3 linked regions of the Drosophila melanogaster genome follow. The protein of the gene in region 1 interacts with the protein of each later gene in a pairwise test. Each region holds a gene or a part of one and is shown in the gene's direction. Other genes may lie near its edges.

What was found.
Region 2: the proteins of CG44837 (region 1) and Hr39 interact in a two-hybrid assay, tested with the Drosophila melanogaster proteins (one large-scale study listed by BioGRID).
Region 3: the proteins of CG44837 (region 1) and CG34376 interact in a two-hybrid assay, tested with the Drosophila melanogaster proteins (one large-scale study listed by BioGRID).

What each region holds. Positions count from the first base shown.
Region 1 is NT_037436.4:11,935,847-11,940,443, reverse strand, and holds the start of CG44837 (uncharacterized protein), read left to right. Parts: upstream 1-1,571; 5' UTR 1,572-1,744; intron 1,745-1,936; 5' UTR 1,937-2,103; coding exon 2,104-3,471; intron 3,472-4,524; exon of another isoform or gene 4,525-4,597.
Region 2 is NT_033779.5:21,235,457-21,240,298, forward strand, and holds the start of Hr39 (hormone receptor-like in 39), read left to right. Parts: upstream 1-1,793; 5' UTR 1,794-1,948; exon of another isoform or gene 1,949-1,964; intron 1,965-2,824; 5' UTR 2,825-3,109; intron 3,110-4,842.
Region 3 is NT_033777.3:22,446,276-22,451,147, forward strand, and holds the start of CG34376 (uncharacterized protein), read left to right. Parts: upstream 1-1,823; 5' UTR 1,824-2,140; coding exon 2,141-2,345; intron 2,346-4,872. Other genes in the region: CG12499 (uncharacterized protein), read right to left, coding at 1-257; CG34288 (uncharacterized protein), read right to left, coding at 697-860, 926-941.

The sequences.
Region 1 (4,597 bases):
ACGGGCCAACTTTTGGTTCTCTTTCCAAGTTATTAAGCTTTAAATAAAGAAGAATCCTTTTTAAATTGTTTAGACAGCAAAATTCCCACGGGAATTTGCAGTAAGCCAATGTTTCAAAATAATTATTTGTTGGCTTTACAAGACAATAGGAAACCACATTTTTCTGTTTTTTTCTTAATATTTAAATATTTTTAATTACCACAACGCCTTCACATTTACGTGAAAGGTTTAAATAAAACCAATTTAAACGTCTATTTAGTAGATATTTCCTGTAATTATTAACAAATAATTGTTGTGCCATAGAAAAAATTTAATTTATTATAAGAGAACGGCAATTAATATAATTATATAATAATTAATTATTCCTTTGCCTGCATACTAAGATTAAAATAAGTCACTTAATGGAGCAATGGATATATATCCACAAAGTTACATATATATTTTTGTTTTTACGAACGTCCCATCGATCCGCTTTTTGTTAATCATGTGAGTCCTCGTATCTGAAATATGATTTGCATATGGATGCCGGATGTGCTAATGCAAATTTTTGACCCAGCTTGAATTTCATTAACACGATTCGGGGGATTCAGCGGTGCACATACTTACTTCCCCTCCGTGTTCCGACACTCAGCCCATCCGATGCTTGATGGCCATACATCAGGATGAAGGATGAGCACTTCAGAGTATGTGTGTGCCATGAGCAAGTACTTACATATGTACCCAGGTACAGGTGTGCAGAAATGTGGCCGTGCATTGTAATGTTAAGTTACAAGAAATGGTCACACTACAAAAAAAATTTTAATGCGTGGGCCGTTTCATCTGTACAACTAAAATATATCATGTTTTCTAGCTATTCGCACATTGATTTTTTAAATAATTTATATTGAATTTAAAAACATAATATTAGATATCACACTATATTTTTCTGAGTGCTGGCTTGGGGGTCGGTGAACATTTTGAGATGAGGTTAACAAAAATGGCTATGTGTCGTCGTCCTGCTGACTGCGAAATTGCTTTGGATGCCAAATGAATGCACTTGCATATTTCATTGCCGCCCCGTCACCTGCGGTATCACCTTTGGGCCAACTCTTTGCCCCAAGTTGGGATAACACCATCATAAAACAATAGACTTTGGCTTTGTGGCCAGGAGCAAGCGTAACTTTGATTACCAAGAAGAATGTATGCTATTGAGTTCAATAAGAAAAGCCCTGTTTGGTAAAAATGTTTTAAGGTCTGTTAAGGCATAGCATTAAAACAAAAAAACGCTACTTTGGAGGTTAAATTCTTTTTATTGTTACATGATTCCAATGGATATTTGTTTTATATTTTATAGTTACTTTTTTTCAAATAAGTATTACAATAAAATATCTTTGCATTAACATGGACTTTACATTACATACTGTTAACATGGCGACCCACTGCCATACTTTTTTGTTGGGCCAGGTCACTTACGATCCACAGCATCCATCCACTGGGGGGTACTCCTTGCGGAAACTGTTGCTGCTGCTGTTAGCAGTGCCGTTATAAAGTAACGGTACCGCAGCACTGAAGAGCCCAGTGTGTTGGCAGCGCCGCGTGGCAACGGTAATTGAATTGAACCGGGTAGCGTTAGCGGTTTTATCCAACGGAAAATGTGACGGAATATTGGCGGGATTGACGTGTTATAATTTATTTGTTTTAGTTTACGCCGTGATATTGGAAAAGCATAACAAACATAACATTGTTAGTGAAAGAGTAAAAATAGGTAGCGTTTGGAATCCGATTATTATATCTACTATCTTATCATTTACTTTCACTTACATAATAGAAACGTTATTTTTTGTATATTATATTTATTACTTAGCTTACATTATTTTACTTGCTTTCAATATATTATATGTACATATAAGTTGTACCTCCTTTATAATGTTATATCCTTGAATACTTGAATACTTAGGCCACCAAAAATGTGTTTATTTTCATAAATATGCAAATTAAAAGTAAATAGACCAGAATAAGTGCTAATACTGAAACATAAATAAAGATGATTTGCGTGTCATTACTCAAATATCAACTAAAATTCGTGAAAAAGAATTAACAATCCATGAGTGACTAAAGGGAACCATGTCTTCTGGCGAGTGGGACCTGCGTGCTTTGAAGGCGCTGGAGGAGGAGGAGCAGCGCGAGTTCCTGGCCCTCAGCCAGAGAAACCTCTTCGATCCGCTGCCGAATCCCTCACCGGATGTGCCCAGTGCGAAGCCTTCACTAACTTATGCCCAGCTGCATCCTCACCTGCTAAAGCTGCCGACGATCGACGAGTGCCAGCTGATGGCCGTCAAGCAGCAGAGATCAGCGGCTCTGCGATTCAGTCGCGCCCTCTCCTTGTCCGCCCACTCACTCACCTCGCGAACCGGAAGCGCAACGGCAGGCGGAAGTGGCCTGGGCTTTGGCCGTAAACTGAAAGCCCGCTTAGTGGGCGCGAAGTCGAGTGGCTCACTTTCGCCCGGTCGGCACTCGCACAGCTACAGTGTTTCCCCGGTATATACGCCGCCGCCCATGAGAAGATGTGCCACCTTGCATCACACGCAACCGGTGCGAAAAGTCTTTAAAAATCTCCAACAGCTGCAGGAGCGAAAACGTCAGGCGGCTGGAAGTCATCTGCAGAGGATCGCTGGCACTGGAAAAACGTACTGGAAGTACGGAGCCAATTCCACGGCCGCCTCGATAGTGGGCCAACGTGCACGCCAAAACCAACAGATCGAAGTCGAGGAGCCCAACGGTTCGGATGAGCTGAACTCGGAAACACAGGAAATCTCCGAGGCGGAAACGGGCTCCTGCAGTGTGCCGCTGCCGTCGAAGGACACCAATGAAATACTCCGCCTCATGCTCAGTGCGGCCAGCTCGGCGGTAACTGTGACGCCAACGGCGGCGGCCATTGGTAACGGTAACGTGGCCGGAGCAACTGGTGGCGCCCCGCCAATGCGTCGCTACCAGAATGCCAGCGATGTTGAGGAGGACGAAACTGTTGCGTACGGAGCTTTCCACCAGGCGGCCAAAAGCTTCGAGCGCGGCGCTCTCCTGCGAGTCGGCAGCTTAACAGCCCAAGAGAGCGATAACAGCAAAGTTAATGCCATTAGCCCCAGTCCACAGAACAGTCCCGCCAGGGAAACACAATCCACAGCGGTGGGCGGAACGGGTGGCAGACGTGTGTTCAAGTCCTGCTCATTCGATTGGCCCGGGGAAGCGCAACAGCATCTATCCCCGCAGCCACATCAAGCTGCAAATCCTGTAGAGCTGTTGGAGCAGCAGGGAAAGGACATTCGCTTTCGCCAGAGGGATCACTGGGATCTCGAGCATGCCCACTTCCATCACGAGGCACTTGGACACCTAACAACCAGCACCACCGTCATCGATGACGAGCTGGAGCAGCATATCAAGCACTGTTCCTGCTCCTGCAACCACATGGGCTATGGCAACTCAATGGACTATCAGGTGAGTGAAAACTACGTTCAAAAGAGATTAATACAAATAAAAACTGAAAACAATTTCGGTTGAATAAGAAACATATGATTAACAAATTGTAACTTTCGAAGCTTATATTGTCTATTAATGTCGGTCTATTGTTATACCATCAGTATAGGAAGGCAAATGGCTTTAGTTATTGAAATTTTAGATATTTTGCAATTAAGTGGAATGCTAATTGTTTCCTGTTTGCCCATTTAATCCAAAACCGCGTCAAATTCCCGCCGTGCACAGCCCTTTTACAAGTGATGGCGCCGTGTAATTTTAATTGCAGCAACTATATCTGCAGTGCGGGTGTCCGGCAATTCAGGTGAATGGCGGCACATTCAGAGGGCCTCCACTTTCTATCCAGCTTTTAATGCACTCTGGCGGAGATTCCAATACACAGGCATTTCCCAAACTCATTATCAGCGAGGCCTTTTGTGGACATTCCGGGTTCACGGCTGGATTGGTCCTGGCAGATTGCCGCCTGGAGATCGCCCTGGGGCACTGACTCTGCCATTGCCAAGTGCTCCATTGTCTGGCTGCGAGTGGCCCGCATGGGATGGGTTCAACTTTTAAACTAAATTGAATACCCCTTTGAATCCGACAATGAGCTGGATGCCTGTTCTTGCCGGGATTAAGCTCACAGTTGGGTTTCTCGCACCCTCACATCGTTATTGTCTGTAATTGTTAAGACGATTTTAGGTTTAATAGCTGCCATTTCAAATAGAGTTGGAGTCTGTTGGCTGACCCCTCGAAAACTCAAGACTTTATCTTTTGTTTTACCACAAGGATGCAATTGCACACTCTATGTGGCCCTAAGGGGTGTGAGACTTTTATTGTGCAATACTCAGGAACAAACGGCCTGGGAAACTTAAAGCATGACAGGAGTCTTCAACTAGGAAATATTTTCTCGGTTAATAATGCACTCTAAAGAACTTTTAAATACCATTGTATGTAGATGATGATGTAGATGATACCATTGTATGATGAAATGATTGCCTGATAGTTAGGACCTGAAAAAATGAATTCTAGCCATTTGCATAGTTTGATTACGACTTTATAGGAGATTGTTTACAGCGTACAGATAGTTCTACAATAGGTGCGATTGCGA
Region 2 (4,842 bases), on another chromosome or scaffold:
TAACCAATTAGCTAACCACATCCAAAGACATTTAAATGGAGAATACCCATATTATGCACGGCAAACATATGCCAATGTGGATCGTAGTCGATCCGAGTCAAGAATGTTTTCTTCATCTAAAAATGCGTGAAAATACAATATAACATATGGATTGAAGACTTAGCATTAGCATATATGCGCAATTTATCAATTTAAATATTACGCAATAAATAATGTAAATGCAGTGGCCGACCAAAGCTCAATATCTCTGACACTAATAAGTTGTATCTACCGAAAACTAAAGCTAAGCTTAAATGAGAGCTTTGGGGTCGTCTATTAATGTCTTTATAGGCGGCTATACACGACCAATTCCATTGTATGTCACTTGAACTTGCTTCAATATCTGATTGCCTCTGATTTCGCAACCACTCCGTAGTATACATATGTATGTACATTTATCTAGAATTCAGTAATAAAGGAGTGTTTCACAGTTTAGACTACAGACAAGTCAGTGCTATTGGGATGGACAACACCATTTAGATCAGAGCTTGTCCACCAGATACCCATCACACATACCCATTCATAGCAGTGTCAGCTTGATGGACATGGTTAGTGAAACACGAGTACTAATATGTTCTAAGGAACTCATTGCAAATCCAGTAATATTTATTAGGATGGAATTTATAAAATAACATTACAAACTAATTTAAGTTGTTTCGTTCAAAATATACACACATGTCTGACGATATATAAGAAATCGTTTATTATACCTGTTACAATTCATCCGATAAAATGTCTAACAGATATAAAATATATTCTTATTAAGCCGAGTCGATGCTCAACCTTTCTAGCTTTTATAGTTCCTGATATCTCGACGTTCATATGGACAGACGGACATGACCAGTTCGACTCCGCTATTTATCCTGATCAAGAATATATACTTAATATGGCCGGAAACGCTTCCTTCTGCCTATTACATACTTTTCAACGAATCTAGTAAACCCTATTACTCTACGAGTAACGGGTATAAAAACAATTAGCTTATGTATTAATAAGCGTGTTTCGTTTAGGATAAAACGATACGATATTACCAAACGTGGTGATTTAAATTTCCCGTGTGGAAAATCTAATCTGAGACAAAATATTCCAATTCTCTTATTTATGTGTGTTTATATTGTTTAATTTGTATTATGAGTAACAATATTTACATAATTAATACAACTGTTATTTAATTATAGAACAAATTGAAAACACTTCTTGAAGAATGTGGGTAATTAGTTATTTCCTAGAGGTCATCTAAAACTGTTATTATAAATTATCGACTACTTTGAAACAATTTGAACTAAGTATTATCATAGACTTAAACCACTAACAAAAGTTGATCGCTTTTATCAGTCTGGAATTAAATTATTTTACAAGTGGGCTCCATAATAGCAATCTACTATCGATAAAGTGCGAACGAATTCGAACTATTCTTTCCCGGTTAACGAATACAAAAAACTCGAATAGCGTCGGCGTATTTTCTCTGGATGAAAATTTTTTGTGAAACTTCCTATTTGATCTGACTTCGGACTATCAGGAAAAAGTAAAAAGGTTTATTGGTAAATGAGCGACAATTTAAAAAATAATGAAAATATAAAAGACCATTACGTCGTAAGACCACCGTTCCAAATTCACTAGTAACCCACCGTCGCTGCCTTGACGTATTTTGTCCCGCTATCAGATCTGTGTTCGTAAAGTGGCAGTGTGCAGCAACAGCTCGCAGAAAGGTGGCAACGCTCGCTAACAGACCGAGAGCTCCACTAACAAAACAAACATTTTGCTACTTCGTCGCAGGCGGGACTGTGTTGCGTCGTGTGATCGCTAGAGCGGTTGTGGAATCGGATTCGAGCGCAAAACACCGTTCATGCTGTGAGCGAAAAAGAGTGGTAGCGCCTACAGTGGCATATGTAGTTAAATCCGTGAATAAGTGAATAAGAATATATGTATGTACTTAATTCGAAAACCTTTTCGCCGTCAGCACAACGGGTGAACGAGAGAGCGGAAGTGGAGTTTTTTGTGGCGGGTCGTCTCGCTCGCACCGCAAAGGTCGTCCGTGGCTGCGTGTATGGGTGTGTGGAAGAGGCGTCGAGGTGAATGTGGATTTCTAACCACACCAGCATTGCAAAGACATTGATTGATATTTAAAGCTGCAGCAGCGAACCAAAGCAAATCCTAATTTCGGCAAAGTTTAAGAATAACGAGTGACTGGGGCGCGCGCAATAAGATAAAATTGAAGGTTATTCTGTGTGCGTGTGAGTGACCCGTTTACCAGTGTGTGTGTGCGAGCGTTCCATTGTAAACAAAAAAGCAAGTGTTGTGAGCGGAGAGAAGAAAGGGAAAGAGAGAAAGAGCGAACAGACTGGCGAGAGAAAAAAGAGATTGCGCACGAAGAAAGCAGCGCACAAAGCGAACGCTGAAAATGTCAATAAACTCTGCGAAAGGTGAGGAAAACGCAACAAGAGCGCCGCAGTCGTGTAAAATAAAACCCAAGACTCAAAGAAAGCAGTAGAAAGAGGCAAGTGCAAGAGCAGAACTTGTGCGTGTGAGTGCTGGTGTAGTGTGTGTGGGAGAGAAGAGTTCGAGTGTTTGTTCTGATTGGACAGAGTGTGCAGAAAAGTTTTTCTGGTTTCGATTCGCTTGCAACAGTTTCCGCGTTTTCAGCTCCAACAAGTTTCGTCGATTTTTCGCGTCTGCATTTTGTTTATTTTATTGTGAATTCGTTGACTTGCTTGCTCGCTCGTTAACCCATACAAGTGCGCCCGCCGCGACGCTGGATGAGTAATTTACCGTTATTAATTCACAGGTGAAAAATCCGATATTTGTCGTGCAATAATTTCCTCGATTGGCATCAAGTGGCTTCCAGTCGGGTACATATTGCACAAGAAATGTTATACGCATAATGTGCACGCAAATTAAACGAATTCTCTATGAAAATGTGACTAGAATGTGAGTCGAACAAAACGAGTAAAACGTGAAATCCCAACTGGCTTTTGGGTAACAAATCTTATCAACACAGCAACGGAAATACATTAAAATCTTGATAGACTGAGAAAGGGACAATTGGAATACTTTTAGTTATTTTTAAATGGTAAGATAATCTCCTTTCCTTAAAAACAAAATGTTCCCATAATTTTTTAGGTATTTTAAAATGGTAAGATGATCTCATTTCCTTAAAAACAAAATGTTCCCATAATTGATGTCCATGATGTCCATCCCATAACTTGATGTGATTTCAAAAGGAACATCGTGAAAACTGGGCGAATCGTATAAACCATATGCTTTCATTTCATTTGTATTTAAGGACAACAATATAGGGGCTGTAAAAATTACCATTTTTTAAGTGATTTAATATTCCTTTGTCCTTTAAATTTAAAGATCCAAGAGGCCCAATTCAAGCGCTATATTTTCTTATCCCCTTCCACAGAGTCAAAGTAGGCTTTTCGAATCCCTGAAATCAAAACAAAATTATTAACACATCGGGAAGTCAGTGTCGTCTGGCGGACTGTCTGGCCGGGCGACTCCCAATTCATAAGCAGTGAAATGTAACGGCGCCGTTGAGTACTTGAACTACTTTCATGTGGCAGAGGCTTTATGACCCGAACTTGGCTGGCTCATTACATTGACATTCAACTCTACCGAGCTCTGAAAGCGCAAAAAGGACGCCATAAAGGCTTTAATTAAACATGTGTTATGTTCGGTTCTAGAAAACTTAAAGCTTTCCGAATTGACTCTGTATAGATTCGCTTGTCTTTATTGTTCGATCATCGTTACACGTTATATTTTTCTCGGTGCAGCCGCCGGAAATTGTTTCGACAACGAAACAGAGACGGTCTCGATCAGGGAGAATAAGAGGGTGGGAAGGCACTGCATGTCTGAATAGTACGGCCAAGGCACGTTTTGAACTCTACCTCTACCACACATTTCTTGGGCCAAGTCTTTAGCTCTTTCTGCTTTCGCGTGGTGCTTGACCCAGAAAAATCGAAGAATCGCCAATTCTGCGGCTGACAACGCTGCTGATGAGGCTGCGGCTGGGCCAAGTCTTGTGCTTTCGAGGAGCCGCAGAAGGGGCTGTCTCATAAACCATTTTAAATGTCGGGCTCATTATTATTTTGACTGCGTCGCTTGCGGTTTTTGTGTCTATCAGCCGTTCTTACCGTGCCTTCTTACCGTTCAACTCTTCTCATTTCGTAAGCTGGGATTCAGTCTGTCCGAAGGTTGACCGCGAGTTTGGAAGTTGATTGGCTCCGGATTATACATTGCGGACGCTGGTTTATGTTCTTGAACTCCTTTTAAATGTGCGCGGCCTCAAAGGTTAATTTACAGCTTTCGGGGTCATAACTCTGGCTAAAGGCGGTCGATTCTGCCGTCGAGACGCGGTTACAAGAACTGGCAACTGATGTAGGGATTTGCCCATGCTTACAAACGCAATGAGTGGAAGAAGGCAATAAATTATCGGGCTTGAGTGGTAAGCCTGGTCTCCAATTCTGCAAAAAAAAATTTTGCTTCTGGTAACTCTTTTTGTGCATGCAGATATTTATATTAACCCGACCCATACGCCTTAATATCTGTAACTTGTAAAGTCTTTGAGATTTGCCCATTCGGTGATGTATTTCTCGTTCGTCAGTTGGCTGCCAGCTGTTAACCGGTTTTCGAATATGCCTTCGGGTGTTCCAACCGCCTTGATACCCACTTCGGCCATCCGTGCCTCTCCCTCGGCAGTGCACCACCCACTCTTGCAATACATAAGTTGATACATGCTGTTTCTCTCCCTGGCTTTGACTCTGGCTGCTAATTAGCAGTTAACAATTGCAGCATTGACCT
Region 3 (4,872 bases), on another chromosome or scaffold:
TGTTGTTCTACACTTGTGTCGGATGTCTTTGTCTTTTTAGACTTCTTCTTTGATGGAGTGGAGTCAGCAGGATCGGTTTCAGTGCTTTCCAGCGTGGATTCATCGAATGATTCCTTAGTTTTATCCTTCTTTTTCTTTTTCTTCGGTGTGTCGGACTCCTTGGCCAGTTTTTTGGGCACCTCCACTTCACCTTCATCCTCTTGCTCAGCAGTTGTCTCCTCGTGCCTTCTCTTTCTTCGATTGGGTTGAATGGCCATTTTGCTTTAATAATAATATTATAAATTATATTTGCCTATTTACAGCATAAATCGTTTAAAATTTAAGTTAAACACAAAAACAGCCGCACACACGTGCTGGCAGAGAATGGTATGACCCTTTTTAAAATACCGAAAAATACCGCCCTTGTTTCAGTGTTGTATAGGGCGACACTTGGCGCGCTAAAATATAAACTGGCGAAACAGGAAAAAAAACAGAACAGCAACTTATTCAAAGAGATTAAAGTTATGATTTAATTTACCAACAATTTTATACTCTCCAACAATAAACAACGTATTTTACTACAATACTAACTACAAAGGGTGCACAACTTTGAAAAAACCACATCTCGGCACGGAATGACTCATAATCCAATCTGCCATTTGGCAAATTTACAGTTTTCCCTGGACGTGAACGTTTTTTCTGTTCCTTTAACCACGTCTAGTCATCCTCGAGGGCCGCATTGGTGGCTCCTCCAGATCCATATCCAGATCCTGCAGGAGCCGTGCTAGTCACCGATCCAGAAATCGGGAATTCTGGCAGAGTGGAGCGTTGTTTGGCTGGAGCCGGCGGAACCGCGGGCAAATCGACTGATTTACTTTTGCCTGCAAGTACACAACTATTATTAGTCGCTGTTATTGCCTTCTGAAGATAGCTGCAAATCACTTACCAAAACAACAACCCATTATGGTATACTCTTTACTGATTCTCGGGACGAGTGGGCTAATTTGCTGAAAGTTCTTTGAGCACTAAATCGGGCAAATCAAATCGGTGGCCAATTGACTGGGTGCGTATGTGTGCACCTGAGGCGTACAAACGACTCATGGCTAATTGATAAGCCCTGCTGTTACTTTTATTCTCTTTTTGTTTAAAATGTAAAGTGGGTTATTTATGACACCATGGGTAGGTCTGCTATCAACAGTGTAGTTCCCCATCGGCCGTATTAGCATCGTGCAAAGAACCGTAGAACTGTGATAAAAGCGGACAATGCCGGTCGGATATAACCGCAACGAAGCGACCAACAAACCAATTGCGATAAGCTCTTATCAGGGGAAAACGTTTTCAATGCTCTCTAATTGGCGCTAAATATTCAATTGTCGTTATGATATCGTTTATCGAAAAGGCTATCGATTGAAAATTCCGCTCTTGTGGGCCAGATTTCAAAAACGCTTAGAAGCATTTGACAATTCAAGCAATTTACGTAGTAATTGCGAACATTTTTAACAAATTAGTAGTTAACATACATTTTACAAAAATATATATTTGCAGGATTTATAATCTCTTTAGAATTATTATTTCTGTATAAAATCCCAGAATTTCATTCCTCTCTAACGTTTTTCTTTGTGATAACAGTTTTGATTGTTAATCAAATTTTTATAGCTGGAATTAAAGTTCAGCAAACATTTTCGTTTGTTTACCAGTGGCCAGTGAGACCGTTCGCTGTGGCGCCTAAAAAACCAACATTTCACTGTTCCTCAAAGTGCGGGGGGGTGGTGCGTTCATTATCAGCCGGAACGTAAACAGCGTCGCTGCTTTTCACGCTTTCCGATAAAAATGTTTAAATCACACTGTGTTAATTAGAGCCCAAATCAAAATCAATGCGCCCGTGGACGCGAACGACTCGAGATCGTGTGCGCGTGAATGCGGATCGAGTAGTTGGTAGCTAGTTTATCAAATTCGAACCCTTGATATAATAAAAATAAAGGTGCGCGAGAATACGTGAATTGCGATTTTTGGCCCGTGAACGAATCACGAGCAAAGCGGATAAACAAAAGCCATAAAAAACAGATTCGCACGAGAATCATCGCAAAAGTCTGTGCGCATAAATTACGCTCCCCAATTGGAATTGGAAAAGTCTGGTTTTCGGCGAGCATCCGCATCCGCGATGGACGACGAGTTTAAGCTGTGCTGGAAGAACTTCCAGGACAACATAGCCAGCGGCTTCCAGAATTTGTACGACCGCGGCGACCTGGTGGACGTGACCCTCGCCTGCGATGGAAAGCTCCTCCATGCCCACAAGATAGTGCTGGCTATCTGCAGCCCCTACTTCCAGGAGATATTCACTACCAATCCCTGCAAGCATCCCATCAGTGAGTACACCGATTAGGCAGCACAAGATTGCGGCCCCATCGCCGGCGTCCCCGGTTTAAATGCTAAGTTATGCAGCGTGGCTTACATTGTCAGCGCGGCATTTATATGTGTATTTTGATACTGGGCACGGAAGTGGTCTTCCAGAAATTGGTCAAGTTTAATGTTCCGAGCTTTCGTTGCCATGCATATGGATGATCCTAATGGAACATTGAGTGCGTAACTGAAGGATTCGGGTTTCTTACAAATTGCTTGGCTCTTGGCATTGCAAATACATTGTAGACATATTTTCTTGGAATTTTAATAAGCCGGAAAAGAGTCTGACTATTCGCTGGGCTATTTCATACCCTTCACATACATACATAGTCTGTATAATGCCAGGGAAGAGTGACTGCTGGTTACTTGGTCAAGCATATTCCCCCAGAAATCGGTCAGTTTATCACTGGGACAGCGGTGTCAGTTTATCGAGGAGCCCGCCCGTCAGCCTGTCTGTTCATCACTCTTGTCAAACGCTTAGATATAAATCAACCTTTGTGTTAAATTCCATGACACATTCGGTGGTTATCAGCCCAGCTCCACCGCCAGTTCGATTCCGAGTTCCAGACGAGCGTCCCAGCACGACTACGTCTGTCTTTACAGTATCGCTACCATAAATCCAACTATACCCGCCCTATTAACTTTACACTTTATTTCATAAGCCTAACTTGCCTTTTTTTTAGCATACAAAGTAATCAATCGAATAATATTGTTAGTCGTTTGATGGATCGCCCATTAAAATTAAGTAGTGCAGCGATATTAGGAAGATTATAAATCGTTTATGCAAATGCATTAAGGTTTATCCAGCCTACAGTTATCTAAAGACTTTGTAATGAACTGTAATCATTTGATAACCGATTTGATTTACTAATCCAATTCAGGGTAATATAATCCAATTCGTAATATCTGTCCGTTTCTGATTCATGTTCCAGTTAGTGAAGTTTGACTGTAGAGTCGTAAATCTAAAGACAAACAGCAGCAACCCACTAAGAATCGAGGTCTGGTGATAATCCTCCGGTGAGCCGGAGTGCCGCCGCGTTGTCTATGCCTGTGTGGTAGCTGCCGGAGTCCTCCGCCTCCGGAGGCACACCGGGATTGTTTACCCACGCCACGCACGGAGTATCCACCGGCGGAGGGAGTATCGTGATAAGGTCCATGGCAAGAGAGCGCAGAGTCGGAGCCGCAGCCCACTTCGATCGGATCGGGGAGATTGGGTGCGTTGCTGACCTCATCAAATGTACTTCAAATGGACTCTAGAACGGTGGTGTACTACTATTTATGTACGCTATATGGTGTATGGATATGATATCGCCGCGGCCCCTCCTGGTCGGTACGATTCCGATTTCGTTCGCAGTCGTGTTGAACACGGCTGCCTGCTGCACGGTGGCTTTATCTGATCAGGCGGCCATAAAAAATAAGGTTTTATCTTTTCAAGTAGCTGCAGGAAGGTGCTACCTACCCACAAACGCTGCTACAAGAGGTATTTCCAAAGATAAAGAATATTAATATACCCTATAAATAACGGCGAACCCAAGCGGGGGCAAGCTATTAAATGTAGACCAGCCCAGCCAACAACAGTCATCGAGGTGCTAACAAGCCAAATGGCTATGTGTTTGTTCCGTGTGTAACACGCAGAAACAACAACAATAGTCGAAATATTTTTTATCTTTTTATCGCGTTTAACAATCATTTATTGCCCAACTGAGTAACTGAGTGCCCGCCCGCCCACTCCTTCACCCTTACAGCCACTCGAAGAATTTAGTTTAGTCGAGATATTGATTAGAGAGCCTCGCAACATATATACGTGTTTCCGCTGCTCCGGACGTGTAAATCAATCCACACTGTGCCGTTCCAAGTGGTTATATCTGGCCAACAGTCACAGTCCCCAATACAATGCTAATCCTCCAAAATTATCTATTTATTATTGGCATAAACAAGACGGACATAGCTCAAAGAAGCTGGGGTCGGAAAAATCGAATTTTTGAAATTTGAAAGCTGGAATCGTTTGCCCATTTTTTGCCCATGTTTGCCCACCAATTAGTTTTTTTTGCCCACGTCCAGTTTTTGAGATATGAATTTTCGAAAAAGTTCGAAAATTTTCGAAAATCAAAAATTTCGCTTTTTTCAAAATTTTTTTTTTTTAAATCGCAATAACATCGTTTGCCCACGTTTGCCCACCCTTTAGAATTTTGAAAAAATGTATACTTTAGAAAATATAAGGCTTTTAAGTTTACCTCGGTCTAATCAGAGAGTAAATCGTTTGCCCATCTCTTAAAACCAAATATTATCAACAAAAAACGTTTGCCCAACAATTATTATTAGTTTTTATCGTTTGCCCACCCTTTAAAAAACCTTTAACAAAAATTTTTTTTCGATTGCCCACATTTAAAATACAACCAATTTCCTTAGCCAACCTCTTTAAAATAAAAATTTCCAATAAAAAAAGTTTGCCCACCATTTAAAACTAAATAATTTCGATTGCCCACCTTTTAA